Linked DNA regions of Neodiprion lecontei. The protein of the gene in region 2 purifies or fractionates together with the protein of the main gene of each other region. This does not show direct contact. Links are inferred from orthologs where the notes say so. Each region holds a gene or a part of one and is shown on either strand. Other genes may lie near its edges.

Region 1 (9,441 bases), on a different chromosome or scaffold from region 2:
TTTATTCCAGCACTTTTGAAAATCGCGAAAATTTTCGCCAAAAATACAAAGGGGTTAACCTTCCTTTTTTTTTGACCAAAAAATTTTTCGTCTCAGAATTGATTCGTATGACTCTCTCCCGACCAATCGGACCCCAAGGAACTCAGTAAACGCGGTAAAAGGAGCGTGGGATCAACGGGAAAGAAGATACGAAGGAAAAAGCACCTGCTGAAAAATGTCGAAAATTCGGGTTTTCGTTTTTTGGCTGTAACTTTTGATGCGTTGATCGCACCGTATTGGGACTGCGCCCAATCGATTTCTCTGGCAAAATTACGTCGGAATAGTGCCACAATTAATTTATTCCAGCACTTTTGAAAATCGCGAAAATTTTCGCCAAAAATACAAAGGGGTTAACCCTCCTTTTTTTTTGACCAAAAAATTTTTCGTCTCAGAATTGATTCGTATGACTCTTTCCTGACCAATTGGACCCCAAGGAACTCAGAAAACGCGCCAAAAGGAGCGTGGGATCAACGGGAAAGAAGATACGATGGAAAAAGCACCTGCTGAAAAATGTCGAAAATTCAGGTTTTCGTTTTTTGGCTGTAACTTTTGATGCGTTGATCGCACCGTATTGGGACTGCGCCCAATCGATTTCTCTCGCAGAAGTACTTCGGAATAGTGCCACAATTAACTTATTCCAGCACTTTTGCAAATCGCGAAAATTTTCGCTAAAAATACAAAGGGGTTAACCTTCCTTTTTTTTTGACCAAAAAATTTTTCGTCTCAGAATTGATTCGTATGACTCTTTCCTGACCAATTGGACCCCAAGGAACTCAGAAAACGCGGCAAAAGGAGCGTGGGATCAACGGGAAAGAAGATACGATGGAAAAAGCACCTGCTGAAAAATGTCGAAAATTCAGGTTTTCGTTTTTTGGCTGTAACTTTTGATGCGTTGATCGCACCGTATTGGGACTGCGCCCAATCGATTTCTGTCGCAGAAGTACTTCGGAATAGTGCCACAATTAACTTATTCCAGCACTTTTGCAAATCGCGAAAATTTTCGCCAAAAATACAAAGGGGTTAACCTTCCTTTTTTTTTGACCAAAAAATTTTTCGTCTCAGAATTGATTCGTATGACTCTCTCCCGACCAATCGGACCCCAAGGAACTCAGAAAACGCGGTAAAAGGAGCGTGGGATCAACGGGAAGGAAGATACGACGGAAAAAGTACCTGCTGAAACATGTCGAAAATTCAGGCTTTCGTTTTATGGCTGTAACTTTTGATGCATTGATCGCACCGTATTGGGACTGCGCCCAATCGATTTCTCTTGCAAAATTACGTCGGAATAGTGCCACAATTAACTTATTCCAGCACTTTTGAAAATCGCGAAAATTTTCGCCAGAAATACAAAGGGGTTAACCTTCCTTTTTTTTTGACCAAAAAATTTTTCGTCTCAGAATTGATTCGTATGACTCTTTCCCGACCAATTGGACACCAAGGAACTCAGAAAACGCGGTAAAAGGAGTGTGGGATCAACGGGAAAGAAGATACGACGGAAAAAGCACCTGCTGAAAAATGTCGAAAATTCGGGTTTTCGTTTTTTGGCTGTAACTTTTGATGCGTTGATCGCACCGTATTGGGACTGCGCCCAATCGATTTCTCTTGTAAAATTACGTCGGAATAGTGCCACAATTAATTTATTCCAGCACTTTTGAAAATCGCGAAAATTTTCGCCAAAAATACAAAGGGGTTAACCTTCCTTTTTTTTTGACCAAAAAATTTTTCGTCTCAGAATTGATTCGTATGACTCTTTCCCGACCAGTTGGACCCCAAGGAACTCAGAAAACGCAGCGAAAACAGCGTGGGATCAACAGCAGAGAAATTACGATGGTGAAAGCACCAGCTGAAAAATGTCGAAAACTCAGGTTCTCGTTTTTCGGCTTTCACTCTTCATACGTTGCTCGCAGCATGTTGGGACTGCGCCCAATCGATTACTCTCGCAAAATTACGTCGGAATAATGCATCAAAGAATTTATTTCAGCACTTTCAAAATTCGCTAAAATTTCCGCGAAAAATGCAAAGCCTCACTTATTTGTCAAATTTTTGACCGAAAATTTTTCGTCTCAGATTCGATTTGTATGACCCTGTCCCAATTAATTGGACCCCCAGGAACTCAGAAAACGCAGCGAAAATAGCGTGGGATCAACAGCAGGGAAATTACGATGAAAAAAGCACCAGCTGAAAAATGTCGAAAACTCAGGTTCTCGTTTTTCGGCTCCAACTCTTTATACGTTGCTTGCAGCGTGTTGGGACTGCGCCCAATCGATTTCTCTCGCAAAATTACGTCGGAATAGTGCATCATAGAATTTATTCCAGCACTTTTCAAATTCGCGAAAATTTCCGCCAAAAATGCAAAGGGGTTAGCCTTACTTTTTTACCAAATTTTCGACCGAAAGTTTTTGCCTTGTTATTGTTTCGAACAAAAATTTTTCCCAATTTTCTTGTATGTGTATGACCCTCTCATGTCAAGTGACCTTTGGTGATAGAACATCCAACTTCCCGTATTACAGTAGATGTAGTCCTGCTCAACCATTGATTCCAGTGTATGCGACAATTATCATTTAATAAATCAATTAAGTAAATTAAATTTTATTGAAACAGGTGTATAGGGGTACAATTTTTATGGAAAGGGGTTGTTACATAAAAATCCTGCAGAGACTTGTATGAGTCTGTACGCAGGCCTAGCGTTCTTATAAATAATCCTAGTAATACTATTACTAGATAAATAATACTATATATTTTTTCCGAGTTCATAAAGCTTATTCCAGTGTTTATAACCGCGTGGAGATGAAAAACCTCGAAGATCGTTTCACAAGTGGATACAATCCTTCAACGCGAGTTTGAAGTCTTTAAATCAGACATGTTAACATCAATATATAATTAATATATACAATGAACAAAGGGAAGAAATTTCAGTTCAAAAAAATTAATTATATTCTTTGCACTTACACTCAAGTCTTTTTCCTATCCTTTTTCGAAAATAATTTCACACACGAGTGCCTAATATGAGATTTACGTTTCTGTTTAAAAAGAAACGGATATTGGTCGCGTTCGTTTCTGTCACTTTTTAAGGACCGAGCGATCTCCGGCCCGAATGTGTAATCCGTGCTGGACGTCTATCTGGAGCAGGACGTGATTGGGTCTCACAATTAGAGAAGGCTGCGCACGAACTCACCTTATTTTCATTCATGACATCAACTACTACTATCAGCAAATGGTAACGTAAATGGACATCGGTGACAGGGAAGAGCAGGGGGGAAGTAAATAATATAAACTACCGTTGCATTCATTTAGACAGAGTTTTGATTGTACAGATCTGTTAGACGTTTAAACGACGTAAAAGATCTTTTACTGAATGATCAGTAACAATTATACAAATAATAAAAATCAGCATAACTGAGCATAGCTAAAATGTTGTTGTCTATGAAAAAAAAAACACAGTTACATCTGACTGTTTATAACTATAAATCTGCACAAGTACCAACTTGAAAATATCGACATTTCAACAAGTATTTCCTGTTTGTTTTTCATCAGTCAGGTTCATTATGATGCACGTCGTTTAATGGAAATCTTTCCACGGCTGAGTTGGTATATGTATATTCTGACTTTGGCATTGTCAGATACCTTCTTTACCCAGATCTGTAAGATAACAATTACACACGAACTATTGTTTAAAGCTCTTTCTTAATTAGTGCTAAAGTAAATGAAATTTACTCACAGCTTCGGTTCCAATCGCTGATATATTACCAGCGAATCGGGGTAAGTCCTTGCCTTCAACATAAACAGGTTGACCGCGGTGAAACCTGCAAATCAAATTAAAAATATGAAGTCATTTACAAAATATAAATTCTTTGTTGCTTTGATTTTGAAAGAAAATCATGATGCATAAATATTTGTGTGGACTCTAACCATCTTCTTTCATAGAGTAATTTTCCATCTTCAATCCTTGTCTCTACCAGAGGAGTATCAGGAGATGGATTGGCATGCTGAGCTGGAAGATTGACTACATTGCAGGCAGTCAGGACTGCTGAAAAATTAAAAAAGCATTACTAAAAGTTATTAAAAATAAAAACGAAAAATCAGTACCTGGTTTTCGTACAGTAGATAGTATTTTACAACGGCTGATCGCTTTTAAGTCATTCTCAATCTCCTTTTCATCAAGTAAGTAATTCAACTGCGCCGGAGGTGGCTTTCTACGTTTCTCTACTTTCTCAGGTACTGGGTCATTGGGTCGACGGCGCAGTTTTCTGGTCATAGGGGGTTTCACCTGAGTACAAACGAATCAAACTAGTTACGGATGATCACTTAGTTTTACATTATCAATTTGTCAAAAAGTAAGAAGACTGGATAAAGCCTATTACCTCCATAGAATCACCAGTGAGTTCCATTGTGTGCCGATCAGATTCAATCATTTTACGCTTCTCTTCCATATCGGTTAATAAATTTTCCTTGAGGTCGATTTTTTTCTCTTCAAACTCCTTGGCTGCTGCTTTTTTCTCAAGTATGTAATCTCTTTCTACCCACTCGGTGAGGTAATCCCGGTAAATTCCATTCAACCGTAACCTGAATTTAATAGTAGAAAATTAGTACTCTGAAGGATAATTTTTCCACATCTAACAACATATTTTAACGTATTTCAGGAATACCTCACCTTTCCTTGTACTGCACCTCCAGGCGTTTGAGCTTACGATTGTATTCCGGATGTGTTCCATCCTTCAATTGTTGAAGCTGTTTTTTTAGACTAGCTAATTTATCTTGATACATTCTACGGAGAAAAGAACGTTTATTTCAGAAGCGATTATTTAAGAGTTGTAATTAAGAATATTGTCAAAATTGGTTACTGCTTACTGTTCCTTTATTTCAGTGTACTTTTCTGACTTTCCCATATCGGGCTCACTAGCCTCTTCCGTATCTGAAAATTAAAACAAATCAAAGTTATTATTATTGAAGTTTAAATAAATGCATATACAAATTGTAAGATGTCTTTATCAACAAAGCCCAAAAATTCTGACCTTCGTCACTCTCATCCTGGTCCTCCAAATCACGATCTTCTTCCATGTACTCATCGTTGTCGTCCTCGACATCATAATCGTCCTGACCATAAGGTGTTGAAAATGGAGAACCTTGAAACGACATGTAAACAATACTGTAAGACTCCGCGCCGAATAAATCACGATGATGTCTTAATTTACGAGCTAGTTATCGACACAAATCCTCTCTCTGGTTAAGCTTGTCAAGTAAGAGGTTATGTTATGTATGCACACATGCACACGAGAGGATGTCAATTGCTTCATCCGATAAACACGCACACGTGTCCGTTGCAGAACGCCACTTGTTGTGATTCGTTATTCATTGAGACGTATTCAAATTCCGACCAGGCGTTTGCTAATCCTAGTGCTTGCTTCTTTTTTTCATTTCTCTTCGCATCGGACGCCCGATATACGTAGGTTACCGAAATTTTATGGATTCTGATAGATTACTTATCCTACAATGAAATGGAATCATTTTCGAAGAAATCAGATCCAGTTGGAATTATTCCTAACGATTCGAGTGGAGTTTCTTATGGGAATTGTGATTCTGAAGCGTACAGAACATCAGTGAGATCGCTGGATTGTCATGTGGCCCATTTGAATTCGTTAAAAAAAAAGATAAGATCAATTACATTGTGGATTGTTAAACTAAATGATGATGACCAGGTTGTCATTGAAGGAAATTTGGAGTGGTATGTTCTCCTTAAAACCTTATGTAGCAAATACGTACCTGATACAGATACTTGTTATACATAGTTTGAATAAGATAAACTTCTACATTGAGCTATTAATGCATGCTGAATAAATTTCAATCCATCTTACATTTAACATTTATTGACAGTGGTACCAGAGTTCGAACTAAACCAATAGCAAATAGAGTCACCTCGTCAAGGATTTTATCAAAATTCAAACATGCCTATCATCTAATTGGAAATATGGCTGATTTACAACATGGTACGCATATAAATCTCAGTCACATTCACGCAAGAGCTATGCTGTTATTACATGAGAAGTAATATCATAAATGACAGATTTTTATTGTATCGTGTATAAAAAATATTTTCCATCAACCATCTTATACTTGTCTTTAGCTGATCCATAAATATTTCCAACTATTATCTGCAGAACTTCCAGTATTCGTTCGCCGTAAATTTCAACAAGGTTTCCCAGAAGATTGGGAAGCTATTATCGACATTTGGAAACGCTTCATTATTACCTCTGGATGCGACGAAGCAACACGATTATTGTGTATCCCTGAAGGTCTCTTTGTCAATGAAAAGCTTAAGTTGACTGTTAATGGTTCCAATGAGAATTCTCGTTTCGTTAAAGACATTGAAAAAGTTACAATGGTGAATGAGACGACGTACCCTATGATTAAAAATGGTACTGATGAAAGTATTGGTGAATATCATCAGAATGAAAAACTGGTTAATTCACTTGCTGAAACAAAGACCTGCGAATCAATTTTGGATCATGAGGTGTCTGACAAAATATCCAAAACACCAAATGATACGAAGCAGCTCACAGCATGGACACCACTCCTGCAACTTGGCGACAATGCAGGATGCTACTTGGCCTTTAAGGGAACCTTGCTGAGGTGAGCCACACGATACTAAAAATCAGCATTAAAACGATACATTATAAGAATAAGTAAATATTTGCAAGACTTAATTGTATATCAAACAAGTCTGAATAAGGCTGTGAATTGTTTTATTACATACCTTGAACATTTGTGAAATTCTGCACAAAAGAATAATTGATCCATTTTTTCCAGTTCAATGGGTCATGCTGTGAATAGGAATCACGTAACAGGTATTGTACATCGAAGAATTTCTCCAAGGATCATTGAAACCATTAATCACGAATTTTATGAATTGATGGGCGATCTCAACAACACTAAACGTAGTATGTATGAATGCAATGATGTGTATTCTGAGGACAGTAGAGTCAAGTATTTTTCATTTTATGTTTCACACTCATAGGCGTGTACCTAATTCATCACTACACTTTTTAAATTCTGAAGATATTGGAAAGTTTTGATTCACATTGCAGCTAGCTAAACATGTATATCAATTATTTGGGGATAATGGTACTGAACTTTCACTCGGCAGGTATTCCTAAGGAGTTAATTTTGTGGTGTCGCAATGGATGTCCAAAGCAAATAAATTTGTTTTGTGAAAACTGGAGATTATTGAAAAATGATGAAACAGAATCTTATAAACATTTAGTCAGCGGCAAGTGTTCCCTGTATTTCAAATATTTTTCCGCATATTGAAATGAAATATATTTTCAATATGTCAAAACAATTGTTATTCAACGTCCCAAATGTTTTACCTACACATTCTAACTTGAAGTTTTTCTGATGAATCATTAGTTTATCAGTACTTAAAACAGAAATATCATTCTTAATTTTGTGTAGATGGAAAACTAAAAGACGAAGACAATGATGTTTTGACGACAAACAATCATAAGAAATCAGGCAATTATAGCAAAAAGGTTCGTTCGTTGTCACCTGTGCAAACAGCAAAAAACCGGGTTAAAAGAAAAAGAATCTTGACAGAGTTGAATCACAGCGACGCCAATGATGCAATCACTAACAATATGGTATATATAACTAATCATAGAGCATGCTAGATTTCTTGAGACGACTTGTAAGCAGGTGATAAATAAATATCAAATTTAGACTCCATCACTGAGACATAATAAGAAACAATAACCATGGGATTTAGTTAAAATTCATAGAATATGTCGGAACTGTTTGAAATATAAATTAATCCATATAAATTCCAGACTCCTAATAGAAAAGAAGCCAGTAGAATGCCTGCTAGCGATTTGCAAGTCAACAGTTTGTCCAAAATAAGACGAAAACTTTCAACTCACGTCTTCGAAAACTCAAGGGAGGATACGAATATTGCAGATATTACCCTGGTACTGTTATTTATCTATTGTGACGCAGTATTTAATAACGAAAAATTAAATACCTTAAGGTACATTATTTTGTTATACTCTAAACACCCGTTTTTACTTCCACAGGGTGTAAATTTGAAGAAATTGGAAGAAATCCGTCCAACTATTAAGTAAGCTTCCACTTTGAGCCTGTAATAATTCGTCACACCTCTAAAACGACTATCCGATTATTAATTCAAAGAATGTTCAATTTTACAGACACGATATAAAGCATCAGCGACTGCCATTGAGTCGAGAACCAGTTATATCGTACGTGTATCATGATAGTTTTAAAGTCAACGACAACGATTTGTCTGATGGTGTGTAAAATATGGTATCAAATCATTTTATTAATTTTATTTATCTACGAATGCAATTAACTACGGAAATAATTATAACACTTATTCCATTGGCATGTCAAGGAATAATATGGTAGCAAATATAGGACGACTTTCAATCTAAAACAACAGATATATTTCACTGTTGTCAAGAGCACGCACACTACTAGGCAAGTCTTTGTATACATATAATAAGCGAGTTCGTTTAATTTTAATTTTTTTTTTTTAAATTAAAGGAAACCAAAGTCCATTACGTGTACCAATACACCCATGTTACGTGCTCCCACATAATATTAACTTATTTATATTACTATTATTATTCATACCATTATTACTGTTATCATTATTGTTATTTTCATTATTACTACTTATAATTACTTACTTTTATATAAACGGGTGTATTACATACATGTGTACACAATTTGAGTATACATACGTAGCCAAAATAAAGAGTTACACCAGAATATGTATTTTTTTAAATTTTTAATTTTTCTAATTTTAATACGAAACCATAATAAGTGGTTAAGCTAAATTAATTTTCATCGTACAACGGAGTACCGTCTCCGCTAAGAGACATACTCCTGGGACTCGAATTCGTATGTGGGGTTCCTCTCGGTGATTTATACGACGGTGTACGTGCCGTTGGTGGCCTGTTGCGGGGTGTAGCTCGACCTGATCCATCGTCGTATCCCCGCGGAGTTTTTCTCGAGTCCTCATATCTAGGAGTGCTGTTCCCACTAAACAATGTAAATATCTATTATAGAATCTTGGTGATCGGTCAATTAAGTAAACGTATTTTTAGTTAACGTTTCGACCCGGATATGGGCCCTCCTCAGAACGATTTATTTATTTAACTGTCAAGAGCACCAAAAAATTTTTTTTTTTTAAATAATAATACTAGAAGTGCAATCAGACATGAAATATTGTAGATGTAATACTCTTAGGGCTATTATATATTATTGGTTAGTAAGAACATTTTGATTAATTGAAAAAAGAATGGCTTTAAGTGTTATTTACCTTTTTTTTATAAGTAAGTGGACTAAGATGTAGTCGAATTCACAATTTACAATTAGTGGAGACAATGTTCT
Region 2 (10,299 bases):
TTCCTGTTGATAAGTGAAGAGATTCTCTTGCTCGGCCTCGGAAACCTCAGCCTCCGATATGATTAGCCTGTCCTCCGGGTCGTCGGCTGGTCCGTCCTCGTCACCGGGCAGGTCGCTGAAGAGCAGGTCGAGCGTTGTTGCTACTTTTCCAGCCTCCTCTGCTACTGGAACAGGCTTCAAGGGGCTGAAAGAAGGAGATTCGCAGAGCTTATCGAATGCCTCTTCGCAGGCGAGCTGAGATCTGGCCTTCCCGGACGGAGGAAGAACATCCGCGTCTTCCACCCTCTTAATTAAAGATCTGAAAATTCGAAATGTGCAGTCAGACAAGGATAGTAGTCTTGAGTCAATACATTATAGATGATACAAATGCAAATGACAAACCTTCGAACTCTCTTTTTTGGATCGCCGTCAACCTCGAGTTTTATTTCCTTCGGCAACGGAGGTAGTACCTTCTGTTTTTTCTTCGGGCTCTTCGGCTCCTCGTCGAAAACGCGTTTTTTAACCTTGTCCTTCTCACCGCCCGAGTCCCGTTTGTTTCTTACTTCAAATTCGAAAGGTTCCGGTTCTTTGAACTCGTAAATATCTTCTGTGCTCTCGGCAGTCTTGGTTTCAACAACGGCTTCGAGTTTGGGCGGCTCTAACTGTTTCTTCTCTGCCTTCGGTGATGCGGGCATTGGGACCAAAGGCTTGTCCTCACTTTCCTTCTCCTCAAGATTCGCCTCTTCCGTTTCCCTTTCAACCCTAATCATGTCGAGTTTGACAGCCTTTTCAAAGCCCTTCAGCTCCGATCTGATCTGGTTCAGATCAAAGTCCCGACCCTTGGGTTGATCCTCGTCGCTCTCAGGCTCTGACTTCACTGCCTGATTCTTTCCCGGCGTTCTCCTGAGCCTGCGTCCCCTTCTGAGCTCCTCAGGTGCATCCTTCTCCTCCTCAGCTTCGCTGCAGTCCTCGGTTTTCACCTCATCATCCCCGCGTTGCCTCGTGTTTTTTTTCCGCTCCTCCATTCCCCTGGATCTTGTCCTTGTTTGCTCCGGCTCCATCGTGTCTGATTCGTAGGCATCGCTGTCGCTCTCCGATGCCACTGATATGTCTGTATGACCAGACATGCGTCTGGTACGTCTCCGCGGTTCGAGCCCCGAGGAGTCGTTGTTCCTGGTAACTCTGGTCTGCCTTCCTACGGCTGGAGTCGCAGGGCTCTTCGTCCTGGAACTTGAACTTGCGACCGAAGACGGTGTGCTTGATCGGGGTGGGTGGCCGTCCTTCTCCTTCTCGTCCCGCTTTCCGACATCCTTCATCATCGACGCAGTTGGTATTGCAGTAGTTACGGAGGTAGGCGCAACACTGTGTGCCCTTCTCCTGTTCTGGGCTGACGACTTGGCTAGTTTACTAGACGCAGAGGAGCCCGCAGTACTTGGAGTCTGTGGCCTAGGAGTGGTCTTGCCGCGCTTTACGCGACCTTGAGTCTGTGTGAAATTTTGCGCAATCCTGGAGCCCTTTATCCACTCGTCGTATCGCGTGTTCCAGCCAGTGTAGTGGACCAGGTAAACCGGCTCAGCACCCTCTTTCTCTATATCGATTACTTTTGCCTCGTACGTTACTTTAGACTCGTGGTTAGGCCCGTAGTAAACCTTGAGACGATCTCCGAGGTCAACCACCCCTTTGTACGACGGTGCGGGATCGGTGGGCATTTCCTCCATGGGCCTCGGCTTTTCCGGCTCGCTTTCTTTGCGTTTTCTGCCGCGCTTTTTCAACTCTTCTTCGGTAGGTCGGCGCTGCTTCGGGGGAATCTTCTTCTCAGTCTCTGCGGATGGTGTTCGAACGTCTCTGGGTTCGGTAATCGATGGTTTACCCTTGGTCGTGTCATCCTTGGACTTGGATCTGGTCACGGTTAGCTGTTCTTCCTCTTTCACCTTGTCTTCCGCCTTCTTCTCCGACTTTTTCGCATCTCCCTTCTTCTTTTCCCCAGTTTTTTTCTTTTCATCTTTGAGCTTTGCTGGCGGCTTTGCCTTTGGCGCCAATGTGGCAACGATTTTCTGTGATTTTTCGCTAGACGACGATTCCTCCTCCCCGTCGATGTTCACATCGCTGTCTTGTCCACTCCCGCTCTCCTCGAATTCCTCCTTCTTCTTAATCTTCACAATCTCCTCCTCCTTCATCGGCTCCTTCTTCACCTCCTTTTTCTCCCGTTTTTCCTCCTCCTCGATTCTTTTCTCTTTCTCCTTTTCCTTCTCCTTCTCCTTCTCCTTCTCCTTCTCCTTCTCCTTCTCCTTCTCTTTCTCCTTTTCTTTTTCCTTGTCCTTTTCTTTCTCCTTCTCCTTTTCCCTGTCTTTGTCTTTCTCTTTTTCTTCCTCCTCCTTCTCAATCTTTGTTGAGGGCATCTGTGGCGGGACAGGCGTATTCCTGTCTCTGTCTCTGATCAGACTCCTGCCGGGTCTCTGTTTCCTGGTACTGCCCCTCGGGTGATTTACCATTGTGCAACCAAGCTTCCTATAAAAATCTTCAAAAGAATGAAGGAACTTTTTGTACTGTTGTTTCACGGCGTTCTGAGTTGACGACGTACTCTGAATGGGAAAACCGAGTCGACGAGTAATGGACTTCCATTGATTCTGATTTGTGACACGATTGTAACCACCCAGTTTGTAAACGGCTCTGAATAGTCTGTACAAGTCTATATCCTGTGTCCCTATCATAGGACAATTGTTTATCGGAGTTCCTCGATCGTCCATAAACTTGTAAAGCTGTGCAACAAAGTGATCCTTTTCCTCCCTTGGCTCGTCATCGGAACTCTGAAAATAAAAAAAAAAAAAAAAAAAAAAAAAAGAACAAAACAGATTCGATGCGTGAATCGGTCAGTGACAACCAAGTTTAAACATCATGGATTACAGACACTTACATCGGAATCCAGTTCTGCGTCACTATCGCTGTTCCCGCTAGAGTCTGCATTGCCAAATAAAGAATCCCTGTCCCAGTGAGGTGGAAGTTCGTTTTTGTCGAGAAATAACAATGCCTTTTCAACGGCAATTTTGAGCGCATTATTCTCCACCTTGTTAACCAATTCTTTGGTGAACTCTGTTGCTTCCTTCTTTGGAACGGTGTAGCTGAGGACAAAACAAGTAACATCGCGTATTGTTGCCGCTAGGAAAGTGAGAGAAGTCGCACAAGAGGTGAATATCAAAGAATGGCTGGACAAAAATACGTTATCATTAAATGTAGAAAAAGAAGAGTAAATATTACAGTTGTTAATCACAGAGATTGTATATGAAGGGATTTCAATGGATATGTTGACAATTAGAAAATATCAAATGTAAACGAAACTAAATGTTTGGGTACAATAAAACTTCTCTTAACGGACAAGTTAGAAATCCCTGACAGAAAAGCATAATTGAAAATGTATCTCCCAATAATGGACACTTCTCTATAAAAGACAAGATTTTCCTTCCCGAAGGTGTCTGCTATTGGCAAGTTTGACCATATTACAATTAATAAGCATCTTAGATGGAACTGCCATATAAATTATCTTATTAGCAAAACAAAGTATATGGTTTACGTGATATTCAATCTAAGTAAAATATTATCGTTTGACAACCTATAATATACATTACCAGACTAATGGATTTATATCTTAGGGTGCTAGAAATAAAACTACTCTGCAAGCACTGAACAGTATAGATAATAGGATTATAAACATAACGAAAATGGCAGATAGCAAAAAAGTTATATCATTAAATTTACATATGCAATATACAAATAATGCAACCGCCACTAGAAACGATAGTATTACACTACCGAAAACATACAGAAATAAAGGTCAAAGGAATCATTTATACTTAACTACATACCTATTATTTCAATAAAATACCAAGTGAATATGAAGCAAGAAAAAATCGCTACAAATCTAAAATGAAAAGAATATATTCAAAATATGATAAAAGACTGTGTAAGATTGAAGGTTTACGAAAATATGTAAATAAATAAATTGAGCAAACAATAATCGTTTTATTTCTCAAATCTATCGTAGTTCATAGGTATTCTTAATATTGTCGAATTGAACAAACTGAATAGAGATGATAAATAATCTCTGCAGCAGAAGGTGATTATTATGCAGATTCTATAGACATGAACAGTATTGGAAGTGTCTTTCGATAAATGTAAATTCAAATTCAAATACTCACTATCTGGCATCCTTAAATGAACGAACTAGATAGTCATCTCGGACACGTATCCTGACTGTATCCTGGGCAGTTGGAGCAACTACCAACCCTGGGAACCAATTGTCCTTTTTCTTCTTGTCTCCAAGCTCTACGCACACGACTCTACCAATCTCTGGTTCTGTTTCGACTTGTTCTTTTCCCACACCTCCGGAACCTGATTCTCTGACACCTCGCGGTGGGCTTTCCTCATCGTCGCTGCTCTCATCCCTGCAGAACGGTTAACGTTTCATAAGACAAGACGGAGATAGTTGCATTTTCTGTCGTTTTCTTCGGTTTATACTTCTTCCGGAGCTTGAGTCATAATTATTTTTAGCACTTACTGAGCTTGCCTGGATCTCCGCCCCCTCCTACCGCCGATAACAGGATTACCAAAGTGTTCGGGATGAGTGAGAGGCAGCTGATCCAAAGTTTCACTCTCTGCAAAGTGTCTGCCACTTTTCAGGCACAAAGCAGTTCGTCTGAGAGTCGTTATGTCTCCGTCGTCAAAAACGACAGTGTACTGACTACAGTCTTGTATTTTGTTGACGGTAGCATCGACGAATTCCTTTCTGTCATTGTGCTTGGCTTCGACCAGCCCCCCTACCCTGAGCGTGCCTTTTATCTGATCATCGGTGACTGTCGCTGTTCCCAAGCCCTGCTTATACGTTACACGGCATTTCACCGACCGCACAACCTTCCTGATTTTAGCCTCACAAAACGCACCCTTGTACTTAGCGCTTACCTCCGTACCAACCGACAGATACGGTGGATCGTCTCCCTGGAAATTAGATGGTTAAAGGTACGTTATTTTTGTTACAAATTTTTATTCATTTTTATTCCGCGATCCGGATCCATCAGCTAGCGAAGATGGGATGAGAATATATGATACACAACATTGATTGAATGGCGGCAACGAAAAAGGAACGATTCTTGGGAAGTGAAAACATACGCAATACTTGGTGGGTGGGAATCAGAGTGGGAACAAAAAGCTGCGAAAACGAGCGAAGCGATTCCGAGATGAGGCGAAAACCAGAATGGTAATTGAGATATGTTGAAGATGCGAATTCGAGCTCATGGATTCTTACCAGCATTTTCTAACGTTCTACAATCTTCATAGGCAGTTTCGGTAGGTAGCCGTACTCGCACCGAGACATGAAAACGGTCGTCAGTTCCGAATATCCTCGGAAATAGTAAAGAGAAGTGATCACACCGAGAACGAGAAGGGTCTTTGTTGACCTCTTTCGCCTTATGCGAGAACGAGAATATCGTTGCTCTAGCTTATATCACTGGTTCAGCGACACCGCGGACAAACACCACTAACTGCCACAAACTGCTGTTGTTCCCTGCCCATTTCCCACTCCCATCGGTCGCTCGCGGAGTGCTGCTACCAACCACTTTGCTCTGACGATCAGGGCCGTCAATCCATGACGAAAAAAATACCCGCTCCCAGTAGTTCCGGAAAATTTACCATTTTTCCTTTCGGCGAATAATCGCATAATAATAGATCACGATATCCGCTGCATTTCTACACTTTACGTTACCCGCAAGCGCAGTGTCGGTATTTTAAACTCGATAGAGACGCCGGCGAGGCCTCGGTCTATCAATGATCTCGATGAATACGCGCCAAGCGTGTCGAACCATGTGACGAGAGACATTTTTTGGAACTTGTAAAGGCGTTGGCGACCCTGTATGGCGGCCCGCATTTCGCAGGGGGTCGAAGAACGTCAAAATACGTATTTAAAACGAATCGATGATGACTAAATCGGCGCTATACGATGGACTAATTGGTGTTTAATATTTTTTTACCCATTATCAGCGTAGTTAAAGCCGGGCGAAAAACGGTGAGACGATGAAGTGGAGATGTAGTCTCGCGGGCAATTGCGCGGCGCAGTGGACGCATCGGCTGCTTCGGCTGCTGCAACGTTGATAAAAATGTGAAACTACGGGGGCGACGATTCCGTCTGAATAGCCAGAGCGAAATAAAAAATGGCGGCGAACAGCGAAGTGCCGGTGGACATCAGCGAGAGTAACGCACTTGGCAGCGATCACACGGTGAGTTTGTAGTTTGATAAAGTAAAATCGAGCCGCGCGATATTCGCGACATTGTGCAAGGTCTACGGATATTCGTTCAAAGAATATTCCCTGAAATCGTGTTTCCGATGGTGCAATTTTGGTATAAGAAAATTCGGTTCGTCGTCATCGTCGTAGTTTCGTCGGACGGTAAAGCAGACTAAAACTATGCGCCGCCAAGTCGACCGATTTCACTACGCCGACTAAAATACAAAGAATGTACAAATGCCTGGCGCTCTTTTCGATATTACAGATTTTCCCAATCACGCCCCGAAAGCCGCACATCATAATGGCCGCAATTTTCACGCCTGACAATGCGGTAATTTAGACGCCATTTATTTTGGCGCGTGCACGTGGACGTTTTCACGAGTCGAACGCCGCCGTCACGGACGCAGGCTTTCATTTTGTTTCCACGATCATCGCGAGTTATACCGCGTCGCGCTGTAACCGGGCTAAATAGTTGGTCAATCAAACAGCCGACAACCTTTCGTAGATTAGTTTAACGCACATGAACTCTATCGTAAGTAAAATCGACACGTGTCCAAGAATATCCAAATTTTATCCGATATCTCACAAGCGCCGTAATTCAAACTTTACACGAAACAGTCGCGGCCACCGGCTTCTTAAGTTTTCTAACCAAACAACCTTCGCCTCGTGTTTTGTAAAATTTACCATCAGACCAGAATTCATACAGTTAAATTTTTTACGCATTTGAGTATTAGTGAATTATTTCTAAAATCGTTCGTTAACTAGTATTTTGCATTTTCATCTGTTTATCTAGCTTCGGGATTACGGCAGACCTGAAAAGAAAATTTGAATTTGTTCTGAGATCTGTAATGTTTAATGTATCGATATTCTTTCAATTCACATCTAAAATCATATACAGAGTGTATGTATTTTTGTTTGAAAAATGTATAGACGTTGGGGAATTTTGTCAATGTTGAAATTCGCAGTGCTGCTTTCTTTGCCCTTTGATTTTTTTCATTCTTTTAGTCTCAGCAACAACAACAATATCTTGATCTCGAGAGGCAATGTGTTCAATCTTATATTCTCTAACTTATCAAATTCTTCTTGCAATATTTCTCATGATTCAATTTTTTATTGTGATGCCTTTCACTTGCTTCTCGATATCATGCTTCTTACCACTAGTAACAACTTGCTGAGCCGAACAACTTTATTGCCGAGGTGCCCAGTCAAGTTGATGTATCTGATCTACTCTCAAATCGCCATGTTGAATCATTACATTGTTCCATTTTTGATTTAATCGAGAAACATATTTCTAAGATTACTATCAATCATTATACCCATCCTAAGTGGTATCCTAAAAAAGTCATTTGCGCATTTCGTCCAAAGAAAAAGTATCATAGATTATTTGAGATGTGTAATTTTAGATTCAAACCATATCTGCACAAAAACCTGCTACTATGCAATGGATTCTAAAGTGTACTTATTGTCGTGTATTAAAGGATTTACACCTGTTAATTATAAATAAATAAAATTTCTCATTTATAGACACTTAAGATGGAAACCATGGAAGTAGCTGAGCCAGTGGTGCCATTGGGAAAGGACGCAGCGACGCCAAATGACAAGGAGGCAGTGTCAGTGGACGATATGACCTCGCGAGACTACTACTTCGACTCGTATGCACACTTTGGGATTCATGAAGAGATGCTGAAGGATGAGATAAGGACAATGACGTACAGAAACAGTATGTACCACAACAAGCACCTGTTCAAGGGTAAAACGGTACTGGACATAGGCTGCGGCACAGGTATCCTGTCGATGTTCGCAGCCAAGGCAGGGGCGGCTCGCGTCATCGGCATTGAGTGCTCGAACATAGTCGAGTACGCAAAGAAGATCGTGGAGGCGAACCAGCTCTCGAATGTGATAACGATCCTGAAGGGAAAAGTGGAGGAAGTGACTCTGCCGGATGGTATTGAGAAGGTAGACATAATAATATCCGAATGGATGGGCTACTGCTTGTTCTACGAATCGATGCTGGACACGGTCCTGTTTGCCCGAGATAAGTGGCTGTGTGAAGACGGAATGCTGTTTCCGGACAAGGCGACACTTTTCATATGCGGCATCGAGGACCGCCAGTATAAGGACGAGAAGATAAACTGGTGGGACGACGTCTACGGATTTGACATGAGCAGTATCAGGAAAGTTGCGATAAGCGAGCCGCTGGTGGACGTTGTCGACCCAAAACAGGTTGTGACGAATGCTTGCCTGATAAAAGAGGTCGATCTGTACACGGTAACAAAGGCGGACCTGGATTTCACGTCGCCGTTCAATCTACAGGTGAGAAGGAACGACTACGTCCAGGCTCTGGTCACATTCTTCAACATAGAGTTTACCAAGTGCCACAAACGCATAGGATTCAGTACGGCGCCTGAGGCGCAGTACACGCACTGGAAACAGACTGTATTTTACTTTGACGATTACATGACTGTGAAAAAAGGGGAGGAAATATATGGAGTGTTCTCAATGAAGCCCAACGCGAGAAATAATCGAGACCTCGACTTCAGCATCGAACTTGACTTCAAGGGTGAATTGTGCGAGGTGCACGAAACTAATACGTACCGCATGCGCTGATTCACACTTGGCGTATAAAGAGAAAATACGAAAATTGATCTAGCTACTTCCGCATTCTCTATTAGATATTAAGTCCGCCTTTCGGCCAATTCTCGTGGCTCACTCAGCCGTGCCACTCTGGTCCGATAACGACAAAAATTACGACCTGACCCGAGCCGTGGGTCAAAAGGAGAAGCTTGGATGTTCGCGATAATCCGTTGTGGAAAAATGGGATTCCATTTTTATTTAGGAGAAATTAGAAGAAATAATAAAAATTAAAAAAAAAATTAAAAAATTACCATACTTTACATTGATCTTCCTTGAAGAGGGACAAATTAACCAAACATCACAAAGATGAATTTTCCTATACAATTAATACTAATCCCCTGTAAGTTATCTTAATTATAACATATTTGGCTCACAGGTTCTTACATCAAATATTCTTCTTTTTAGTTTTTTCTTGATTTTAACTCGCTTTTGTCAGACAAATGGTATTCTCGATTAATGGCAAGGATGTTTCTACCCGCAACAGCATCCTTTTGCCATGCTATTGTTTTTGTTCATACATTTTTTTTCCTAGTACCAATAAAATTACATATTTACTTGGAAGTATAGGAATTGAAATGTAGACTAACAATTCGGAGTTTTTGAAGCTCCTATTTTTAACATTATTTTTGTTGTTCGACTTCAATGACCGATGAAAAATAGTATATGCTCCGAATAGGTTATAATTCAAATCTAAGCGATAATGAAATATTAGCCAATATTTCAAAAACAATGACCAATTCACATCATCGAACGTGGAAGTAAATGATTTATCGACACAGGGACTAGGCTATCGATTATTGTTCTATTATTGATTTCGATTCACATAATAATTGTAACAACGGAGAATCTTCTTTGTCTGAATTGATAATTCTAGTCAGGTAAAATCGGTTTTCTACTAGGTTGCTAACTAGACCAGGTAATTGTCAAACCAGCAGGCAAACGTATTTCTAATCATGCCGACAGACTGCCAAGTCACAGTGCAGCTGTATATATTATACTATGTATAATTTTTATAAGGAATCATTACTGTTTGTTAGATTGATGTGAAAACGGAAAACGGAACACGAAAAACAAACTTCTTTCCCCACTCTCATCCCATTTCTTTGAGTCCCATAATATGCCAGGGTTCCATTGCAACGTGATTATATAATTATGTATGTAACAATAAAATTAATACATTTGCTATGAATATCGCGAATTTTCGTTATTTCTTTGCCCTTTGATTGTTTGTTTCAAGTGACTGAAGAAAAAATGAAGGGAAAATTATATTCGAAATGAAATTGTGTCTCAATATACACTGAGCTTTAGTTATTTACAGTTTGTTTCCTACACAACTTTCCGCTTGGAAAGGTATATATATATAATTATATATATATATACACATACTATAATACATATATGTATATATATAATAATA

The links.
Region 1: the proteins of AT-rich interactive domain-containing protein 4A (region 2) and sin3 histone deacetylase corepressor complex component SDS3 purify together in Homo sapiens (affinity purification with western blotting; 3 studies listed by BioGRID, with this or other methods). This does not show direct contact. The link is inferred for Neodiprion lecontei from reciprocal best matches to the Homo sapiens genes ARID4B and SUDS3.

The regions. Positions count from the first base shown.
Region 1 is NC_060263.1:2,839,510-2,848,950, reverse strand, and holds sin3 histone deacetylase corepressor complex component SDS3, read right to left. Parts: upstream 5,314-9,441; 5' UTR 5,176-5,313; coding exon 5,052-5,175; intron 4,952-5,051; coding exon 4,888-4,951; intron 4,805-4,887; coding exon 4,691-4,804; intron 4,603-4,690; coding exon 4,401-4,602; intron 4,307-4,400; coding exon 4,126-4,306; intron 4,067-4,125; coding exon 3,949-4,066; intron 3,843-3,948; coding exon 3,758-3,842; intron 3,679-3,757; coding exon 3,583-3,678; 3' UTR 3,325-3,582; downstream 1-3,324. Other genes in the region: uncharacterized protein LOC107222062, read left to right, coding at 5,535-5,761, 5,911-6,023, 6,195-6,666, 6,844-6,974, 7,181-7,303, 7,489-7,673, 7,860-7,997, 8,103-8,146 and 1 more; transcription elongation factor SPT6, read right to left, coding at 8,886-9,090.
Region 2 is NC_060266.1:855,128-865,426, forward strand, and holds the start of AT-rich interactive domain-containing protein 4A, read right to left. Parts: upstream 5,765-10,299; 5' UTR 5,282-5,764; coding exon 5,276-5,281; intron 4,969-5,275; coding exon 4,532-4,968; intron 4,419-4,531; coding exon 4,173-4,418; intron 3,099-4,172; coding exon 2,894-3,098; intron 2,787-2,893; coding exon 382-2,786; intron 299-381; coding exon 1-298. Other genes in the region: protein arginine N-methyltransferase 1, read left to right, coding at 6,177-6,242, 7,773-8,855. UniProt on the Homo sapiens protein: Acts as a transcriptional repressor. May function in the assembly and/or enzymatic activity of the Sin3A corepressor complex or in mediating interactions between the complex and other regulatory complexes.